3 linked regions of the Macaca fascicularis genome follow. The protein of the gene in region 3 interacts with the protein of the main gene of each other region in a biochemical or structural test. Links are inferred from orthologs where the notes say so. Each region holds a gene or a part of one and is shown on either strand. Other genes may lie near its edges. The genes, in order: IRAK4, UBE2V1 and PELI1.

The links.
Region 1: of the proteins of PELI1 (region 3) and IRAK4, one has a biochemical effect on the other in vitro, tested with the Homo sapiens proteins (4 studies listed by BioGRID and IntAct). The link is inferred for Macaca fascicularis from reciprocal best matches to the Homo sapiens genes PELI1 and IRAK4.
Region 2: the proteins of PELI1 (region 3) and UBE2V1 form a complex in vitro, tested with the Homo sapiens proteins (3 studies listed by BioGRID). The link is inferred for Macaca fascicularis from reciprocal best matches to the Homo sapiens genes PELI1 and UBE2V1.

Annotation. Positions count from the first base shown.
Region 1 is NC_088385.1:50,385,028-50,388,686, reverse strand, and holds part of IRAK4 (interleukin-1 receptor-associated kinase 4), read right to left. Parts: intron 3,487-3,659; coding exon 3,307-3,486; intron 2,753-3,306; coding exon 2,592-2,752; intron 1,706-2,591; coding exon 1,641-1,705; intron 1-1,640.
Region 2 is NC_088384.1:106,170,878-106,173,320, forward strand, and holds the end of UBE2V1 (ubiquitin-conjugating enzyme E2 variant 1), read right to left. Parts: intron 2,436-2,443; coding exon 2,289-2,435; 3' UTR 646-2,288; downstream 1-645. UniProt on the Homo sapiens protein: Has no ubiquitin ligase activity on its own. The UBE2V1-UBE2N heterodimer catalyzes the synthesis of non-canonical poly-ubiquitin chains that are linked through Lys-63.
Region 3 is NC_088387.1:57,778,257-57,782,015, reverse strand, and holds the start of PELI1 (E3 ubiquitin-protein ligase pellino homolog 1), read right to left. Parts: upstream 2,636-3,759; 5' UTR 2,542-2,635; intron 1-2,541. UniProt on the Homo sapiens protein: E3 ubiquitin ligase catalyzing the covalent attachment of ubiquitin moieties onto substrate proteins. Involved in the TLR and IL-1 signaling pathways via interaction with the complex containing IRAK kinases and TRAF6.

The sequences.
Region 1 (3,659 bases), on a different chromosome or scaffold from region 3:
CATATGTAAACATGTGCCACGGTGGTTTGCTGCACCTATCAACCCATCACCTAGGTATTAAGCCCTGCATGCATATGGTTTTGTATATTTTAAAAATATTTTCCTGTATTTTCCAGATTATCTACTGTGAACAAGTTACTTTTAGAACTGCAGAGTAGGGGTAGAAGTGGAGAAAACAAAGACTAAAAACAAAAAGTTTGATTTTTTTTTCAGTGTGTATCATTTTTACCATGCATAAGTCAATTCTAGTGTATTCTTCCTACTTGAGGTTAAGTAACTATGATTGGTAATTTACAGCAGTGGGTTTAATGGGTATAATTTGGTAAATCCCATTAGGATTCAGATCAAAAGTTCAGGCTCTGCAATCAAACAGATCTGGATTTCAATCCCATCTCTAACACTTACTGGCTACGTGATCTTGGACAAGCTATTTAACGTTTCTAAATCTCAGTTAACAAACAAAATGGGCAGTTGTAATAGTTGTAAAGGTTAGATAGACAATGCACATAAGGTACATAGCACAATGTCTGGAATGTTGTACACACTCAAATATCAACCACTATTAATTACTATAATAATTAGAATACATTTCCTCCATTGTCCCTTCTACTTTTCCTGATGATGTCCAACAATTTTCCAGCACACAGGGTCAATGCTGAGAAGGCAGATAACATGACTCTAGTTGCTTTATAGGTGCTACTTTATATATAAAGTATATATATATCTTCAGATATATATGTGGATACTATGTGGAGCAGGGCTTCTCAACTTTAGTTTGTGAATCTCCCAAAATTGTATGTATGATTGTGTGTATATGTATATAACTACATTTTTCTAGGGGTAGGGTCCATAGCATTCAACAGATTTTTAAATTTTAAGAACTACTATGTAGAATGATGTTTATTTAAAGTATATCTGCCTTCAGCTAACAGCACATAGAGTAAATGCTTATCTTTGCAGATAACATGACTCTAGTTGCTGTATAGATGCTACTTTATATATTCTGTAGATAGTTTTTTTAAGTATCTCTACAATTGATCTCTCATGAATTCTGGAAGTAGAAAACATGATAATGAAGGACATGATAGTAAAATTCCACGTAACCTTGTTGTGACTTAAAATAATGACTGCGGTCAAGCGCAGTGGCTCCTGCCTGTAATCCCAGCACTTGGGGAGGCTGAGGCAGGCAGATCATGAGGTCGAGATCAAGACCATCCTGGCTAACACGGTGAAACCCCACCTCTACTAAAAATACAAGAAAAATTAGCCAGGCATGATGGCACACACCTGAAGTCCCAGCTACTCGGGAGGCTGAGGCAGGAGAATCGCTTGAACCTGGGAGGCAGAGGTTGCAGTGAGCCGAGATGGTGCCACTGCACTCCAGCTTGGGTGACACAGTGAGACTCCATCTCAAAATAAATAAATAAATAAAAATGACTGCTATTTAATCTCCAGGCATATGAGTATATGTAATCATAGAATTATGGAGCCAAAAGTACTTTCAATTTCTCTAAACACTTAATTTTAATTTCATATATGTGCAAACATCACTAGTTCATGGCATACTCTAGAGTGAACCAGGTTCCTTACTCCTTGTCTTTTTCCTTTCCACTACACCGCACTGCCAAATTAAGACTTACTTTGCCATTACTTTTATTTCTTGATCAAACTGCTGTTTCAGTTCTTCAGTAGTAATGTCAACCATCTGAAAAAATAAAATATACAGTGTAATACTGCACAATTCTAAGGTTCCTAATGCTCAGAGGGATCAAGAGATCAGCTGGCTCATCTCCCTTTCTTTAAAACAATAAGGTATTATTCTCCCAATTCTACAGAACAACTGAGATCTAGAAATACTAGCGATTTGCTCAAGGTCCATGGCTGGTTAGTGGAATGAAAAATATATATAAATTTCACTGAGTTGTGGAAACAAAATGAAATAGCATGAAATTTCACTACACAAAAAATTTGAAAAAATATTCTAGGAAACAGAAAACATACGCAATTTTAGTGCAAAATGGAAAACAAAACCTACAAAAGCCCTGCAATGTATATGACAAAGAGTGACTATCTTTATCACATACATATGCATTCTATTGATATTTTTAGGCTCTAACAAAAGGTTTAGAATATAACTAGTCAATAAGTAAAAGGTGAACACTCCAGTAGAAATGGCAACAAAGGACACGGATAAAAAAAATTTTAATGTTTTTTCTTAATGTATACTTCATAAACTTTATTTTTAAATGGGAAAAGTAATGCAAACATGGTTTTTTTTTTAAAAATAGTTTTCCTGGTTTCTTACCATTTTAATCTTGATTACATATGAGGCACTATGTGGAGCAGGGCTTCTCAACTTTAGTTTGTGGATCTTCCAAAATTGTATGTATGATTGTGTGTATATGTACATAACTACATTTTTCTAGGGGTAGGGTCCATAGCATTCAACAGATTTTTAAATTTTAAGAACTACTATGTAGAATGATGTTTATTTAAAGAAAATACATACTGAAATAATGTATTTCCTAAAGATTAACTTTATTATAGAGCACACTATGAAGCAACTCTTTATTCCTGAAAATATAACTTACTGCTGCAAGCTTCTTTACTGCCACAGTTGCATTATTTACGTAGCCTTTATATACAACTCCAAATCCTCCCTCTCCCATTTTATTACCACCAACAGAAATGGGTCGTTCATCAAAGTTATTTGTGACATTCTTCAATTCATAAAATGAAAAACTGTGAAAACCTATAATGTCAAAATAAGAAAAACATGCTTAAATTTTAAAAATACGTTTTAATAATTCTAATATTTTCTCATTTGAAGATTTCACATGTATGTAAATATTTATGATTTTGAATTAGACAAGACGGGAGAATATAAAACCATTTCTAAAATACAAATTATAAGTTTTTCTTGAGAATTCTGTTTGGTGATCCTACCCTCTGAACACTGTAGTCACCCACCCAAAATTCTAGTCACACATTTGAGTGGGTCTAGTCTACCTACCCAAAACTCTAGTCACATATTTTATTTTAAAAAGTGACCCTTCCAAGTTATGTAAATATTTACTTATTTTTTTTTTATAGCTTCTCTGGTTGTTTGCATGTCCTATTGCCTCTAATCACTGATTAACACAAAGAAGATGGTTCTTAATATATCAGGAGGAAAAAACTCACAAAAGAGCTATTGCCAGTGTGCCTGTGATTGCTGCACAAACAAAAGAACAAAAGCTTTCTTTTAAAGCACTGCTAGTCTTAATGACAAATCCACTAGTAGAAAGCACTGAAAATGTTACTTACGTGTATCACTAACTTCTAAACTTTTATTTTCTGGACTTGAGGAGTCAAGTGGCATATAGCTTTGTTCAAGATTCTGCAGAGGTGTCATCAATGTCCTGTCTTTGTCATAGAAAGGCATCTGTTTTTGTTGAACTGTTACAGCTTCTTTAGAAGGTAGTGTATTAGTTTTGGGAACAGCATCTAACAAATGAAGTAAGACACAAGTGGTTTTTCAGTAATAAGAAGTGGTTGTGAAAAAGTTAAACTGAAACTTGGTTCATTTAATATCATTCCAGTTTCTACAGGTTGGTCTCATATTCTCACAGCACACACAAGAAGCTACCTAGTAAGAATCTGTAAGTTATAATGAATAT
Region 2 (2,443 bases), on a different chromosome or scaffold from region 3:
GTGGTGGCAGGCGCCTCTAATCTCAGCTATTTGGGAGGCTAAAGCAGGAGAATCGCTTGAACCTGGGAGGTGGCGGTTGCAGTGAGCTATCATGCCATTGCACTCCAGCCTGGGCAACAAGAGCAAAACTCTGTCTCAAAAAAAAAAAAAAAAAAAAAAAAAAAAAAAAAAAAGGAGGCCTACCATCTTTAGGACAGGGGTTGGCAAACTATGATCCATGGGCCAAATCTAGCCCACTGCCTGATTCTGTATGGCTTCTAGCATGAAGAATGATTTTTACAGATGAACATTTGCAAAAGGCTTGATGACAGGGAACATGAATGAATCCCAATTAAAGTACATGTTATCTCCTAGAAGAACTCCAATCCTCATGTTAGTGGGCCAATAACATTATAAATAAACAGAACTCTACTTTGAATTTCACCAATTACAAATTTGGGAAATCTGTTTTCTCTCAGAATATAAGTACTCACACAATGTCCTCAGATTTTGCCTCTTGGCCTGCAAAGCCTATATATTTACTAATTTAGGCCCTTTTAGAAAAAGTTTGCCGACCCCTGCTTTAGGATGTCAATTAGAACCCCAAAGCATCTAAAACATTAAATTCTGTCCCTAATATGCCAAGAGGAAGAAGAGTACAGCCTGTTAAATATTAACGCACACTTTTTTTTTTATTAAAATCAGGCAATGGTCTGACAATAAAAAGGCTGTTTATGGAATACTGTTATGTTAAACTTCACTTACAGGATGTTAAATCCTTAGAACTAAGGTTTTCCCTCCGGAAAAAGATTAATGGAAACATCAATTGCTTTTCAGACTTGATAGTTGCTGCTTCAAAAGGTGGTTTTACACAAATACTAAATTAAAAAAAAAAAAAACCTTTAGTACACAATGAATTGCTTTTATTTCGGTATGCATCCACATTTCAGCATTTAGTGGTCCTGAACAGCAAGTGGAAAGATGCAGCAATTTGCTAGGAGGTCAAGCCCACCAATTTCGGGGATCTGCTTTGCACACCGGGTTCTTTCTTAATCCCTGCTGAGGATCTTGGGAAGCAGCAGCAGCACCAAAACCAAGGCATGCACCGGATTCAAGGTTCTTTTTGTTCCAGTTGTCAGATTCCAAACTAGACCCCAATGGATTGCAAGGATGACCAAATGAAAGCCCTGTTTAAAACTTCTTCAATTTTTAAAAGCAAAACAATTATAGGAAAGTAAAACAATTCAGAGGGATCATGTGTGCTTACAAGTGTCTTCATGTGGTCTTTCTCCAAGTTCAACCACCAAGGACTCCAAGAGCTGGCAGGTCTGAGTAACCCTGGTGACGATTCTTTTCACCTTATCAAAACCTGAGCTAAAAACAATGCATCAGCTGATGACAGCAGAGGGTGGCAGGGCTGAGGCCCCATTATTCATTTCCCAGGCTGGTGGACAGTGAGTGAGTATGGTTCCAAAACTAAACAAGGGAGGTCAGAGACTCTTTCCAACCTTACCTGATGGCTTCTGGCCAAAGCAAGGAAGTGTCATGGAAGGTGTTGAGTGGTGACGGTGCAAAAAGGAAGTTGAGGAGGAGGGAGAAAAAGCAGCACCCCTCGATAAAGGTGGGGGAGAGAAGATATGGGGAAAGCCCTGAATTCCTCACCGAAGGCCAATCTCAGAGGGGAGCGGAGGGGTTACAATCTATGCTTCGGCCAAGGGTGGGAGTGGAGGAGTGTGGGAATAGGATGATGGCTTGGAAGGGGCATCATTTAAGACTTAAAGAAACCAGGGGTGCAGGCGAAGCACCCCACACACCTAGCAGTAGTCCCACAGGCTGCGACCTGAAACCTTCACATCTACTCTAACAAGCCCCCCAGGCTAGAGGGCTGTTGTTGCAGGGAGGGTGGGAGGCGGGAGGGTAAGGGGAGAAGTCAGAGACCCCAGGCCGTGTAATCAGCAGCAAGGTGATTGTGTGATGTGTCTTTTCACAGTTAAGTTAGATGTGCCCCACCAGTTATGATGGGAATCAATTTAAATAGACTTTCTTGATCCCAGAAGTTCAACTACGTGGACAGTGGTTACACTTGACAGGATGATTTGTTATAGCACAACTTATATATTTCAAATGGACAAAAAATTAGTATCATTTACAGTATCTTAAGATAAATTTCCTTTGAATGGGAGCTTCCTTTCCAGTACTTTGAGGTCTACAAGATGTATCTAGAAAATTTACTACTGTGGAAAATGAAGACTGCTTAAATCGAATGGGGGGGAAGGGGAAGGGGAAGGGCCTGTGGTTTTTCTTTTTGATTAATTGCTGTAACACTGTCCTTCGGGCGGCTGAGGGAGTTTCATATTTTCTTTAGACATCATTAGGCGCCGAAGCTCTTGCAGGACAACTTTGATGCTATATGAATTCTGCCATTTTGCTAGCACTGATATGGCTCTTGGGTCCACCTACAACA
Region 3 (3,759 bases):
AAAAAAAAAAAAAAAAAAGCTAGTGGCAGAACTTGAAATCATATCCAGATATTTCAATGACCAATATTTCTTGTCTTGAGGTTCCCACACATTAGTCTAGGGGAATATTCTATGGCACAGGTCACACTTAAACTAAGAAAATATAATAAGCACTCCCCTCCCCCACTACCACAAGTGTAAAAAAAACTCCAAGAACCCAAATCCCTTGAAAGAATGACTTCTATTTACTTTGCTTGTGTAATATATTCAGAGGGAATCTGGAAAAGATGGCTAGAAATCTATAAACAGAAAGTGCTAAGTGGAATTCACTGTTTATAGACTTCAACTAGAATTTTGTCCCTTATATATGAATGCTGCCAGGAAACTTTATATTGTATTATTTAAAAACATCTTCATCAGGTTTTCTTCACTTTGTTGATTTTCTTCCTTTTTCCACTGGCTTTTAAATCTGCTTTACTCTCCTCAAAGACATAAATGTAACTTTTAGAATAACAGGACTTTTTTCCCCCAAAAGGAGCACCTAAAGCCACCTCAGTGCCATCATATATTAGTCATTATGAAATTTTAATATATACAGTTAAATATATTTGTATAATAAAATCATCCATAAAAGCCTTTCTAATCTAATAAATACTAGGATAGGTCTACATTGGTGTATTATGGTAAAATGTACACGTATATGTTAGTTTTCAATTCTAAGTCTTTGGCTTAAAATCTTTATCAGCTGTAGAAGCTTCTGCCTAAAAATATTAGTTGTCCACGAAGCATAATGACTATCTATAGTCGTTATCACCTGACCTACTAGAAAACCATAACGAATCATATTCTGAAATGATAGAACTCTTAAAATACAAAAGTGACATTCTGACAACCCAGAAGAGTCTGAAGCTAAATCAAACGGAAACATCCTTTGGCTTCCTCTTTGAAACTTGCCTCAATGGCATTTGGCAGTACTAGACTAGCTTCCTACCCCGTACTTTTCAGTCATTTCCTTTAAGGGGTCTCAAAGAAATTATAAAACCTGCAAAGCCAGACTTCGCCAGTCAACACTAACTTCTGCCTGCGGACTCCAGTGACTGAGCCAAGACAGTGTTAGTAGCTTCCTTAAAGTACAAATGTCCCCGGTAAATCTGGCTTGAAAATACCACAGAAAAAGTTCAACATAACCAACTGCAAGAACATTTAAATGTCAATCTTAAGGAAAGGATGGATTCTCTCCCCCTACAAACTCCACTGAGGCAAATTTCCAGCTTGCTTTTTAGAAGTAAATAAATACCACTACTACTACATTACAGCACTTCTACCATGCCAATAAAAAGCTAGGTGATAGTTTCCTCTTTAAAACCTGTAAATTCACTAGATGAGACATTATAACCACTTCACTACATGCAACTTTCCATACATATAATTGTTCTACTTTCCAATTATTTATGTTAAACTCAAGATCTCTTTTAACATACTATAGAAAGGGAACAGGTTAGAAGGCTCTGGAAAAATAAAATAAAATAACGAACATCTCACTTTCATTTTCTGATGCAACCACCAAAATCTAAAATGTAAGGACAACCACACAATACAAAATTAAATGTAAGAGAATTTAGAGTAAGTGAAACTATTCACTGTTACTACAGTTCTGATCATTATTTACCTGAGGAAAGAGCTAGTAGAAGTGATGCTTGATTTAAATTTTTGGTACTTTCCAGTTTGGTACCAAAGAAATAAAAACTCACAAAATAAATAAGGTCCTCAGAGTTAAAGATTTTTATCCAGAACAGGTTGTTGATATAAATAAAGGAATTCATATGCTGTATTTGTACAGTAAGAACAATGTTTTGAGACATGTAAATCTGATCACTCAGAAAATATTTTCTGTTGGCTATAAAGAAGATGCATCGTAAACTGAAACAGAACTGAACAAAGTGAACCTTTTCCACAACTAAAAAATTTTAAATTCACCCTATTAAGCAAACTGAATAAAAAATTCATTTCTCCTTAAGTGTGAGAGTAATACATATTCAACACAGTAAAGGACAATGCGATTTCTGAAACAAAAGATTATGTGCAAAGAAAACAAAGTAACATTTTGCAGAGTAAGAAAAAGTAGAGCCTGTGAACCGAAACAGATGACCTTTTCTTATCTATAAAGTATAAAGCTTCAGTTTTTAGCACAACCAGCATCTTACGAATAAAGTTCTCAATAATATTTGTTGATATACTGTTTGATGACTAAACGACAGGAATATTGTTGGTGCTGTTAAAACCAAGGCACATTTCCTTCTGTGTAGTGATTAAAATCTGTTAAATGGACATTTTTAAAAAACCTATGCCCTCTGTCCCATTCTTGCTCTCTTGCCTCTAAGAGACCTACACGTACAAAAATAAAAGTAGATGGTGACGTGACTTTATGATTTACATTAATTTCCCTACTCGAAGCATTTCTCAGTAACTCTTTAAAGGTTTTAAGATTCAAACACTATGTAAGAAGAATTATGGTTTGAACTACGTAACAATTACCTAGACATCTTTCGGACTTCAGCTAACCTGTAAGTAAAATGAGCATCTTTAACTTTTCCACGGGGCATTTGAGAACGGGTTCTTCCTCATAAACTCTTTCATATCCTCAGATACCAGGCGCGGTAAAAGATCAAGCGTATCCATCAGAGAGCTTTTCACGACCTCAGTTTACCCACTTAGGGAAACGGGCGTATTGTTTCCTAGGGGACCCAGGGGTGAAATTAATTAGCGTGTTTAAAATGCTCTGAGATCCGAAGATGAAAGGAAATGTGAAAGACGCGCGGAGATGATGACAACAATCATAACAATAAAAAGAATGACTAACTTGGAAGTCTGCGTTATGTAAGGGAGGAAAAGAAGTTATCAGATCCGCACAAACAAAAGGGAAACCCACCGCCCCTTTTGTTTCTCCCATTTCCCTCTCCTACCCGCCACCCGCAGAGCACCCCCCTCGCAGCCTGAGCGCGCGGCCAGCCAGGCGCGGGGCTCGGAGTTGGCCGCCGCGCGCCCGGCTCCCGGGCGGAGGGGGAGGCCGCACAGGGCCGGTTCCTGACAAAGGCGCTTCCTCCTGCCAGGGCGCGGGATGGAGGCGCCGCAAACTCCGCTCCCCGCCGCCGCGGGGGCGCGCAGCGGGCGGGGAGAGCTGGCTGGCTGGCCGCCGGAGAAGCCGCCGAGGAAGTTGCGCGCCCGCCCTCCCCGCGCCCCTCGGCGGCCTCGCCGCCATCCATCCAGCGGCGCCCCGCGGCCACACTTACCGGACAATTGCTGGTGGCCGGGATCCCAGCGCGGCCCCTGAGACCCGAGGCGAGAGGGTGAAGTGTTGTGCGCGGGGAGCACGAGCAGACAGCCCGCCGTTCCGCCGCTGCCCTCCGCGCCAGCCAGCCGAGCCCAGCGCGGGGAAGTTGACCACGAAGTCGAGCGCTGAGGAGCCGCGGAAGCAGGGAGAGGCGTTGGGGCTGCTTCGTGGTGCACTCCCGGAGGGCTGGGGACCAATTCGACCGCGCCGCGGGGCTGGCGCTGCTGCTGCTACTGCTGCTGCTGGTGGAGGCGGCGGCGGCGCCCCCCGACGGTCCCTCCACCTCACACCGCCTCTGGTTCACTGACATACACTCCCAGGGAGGGGAGGGGTCTAACCGGAGGGCGGGGCCTGAGGGAGGGGACGAGGCAGGGCCACAGCGGAAGGCGGTGTCGTCGCGCCGAGAACGCTCTTGGGAATTGTAGTTCTCTGGCTGAAGAAAAAAGGGA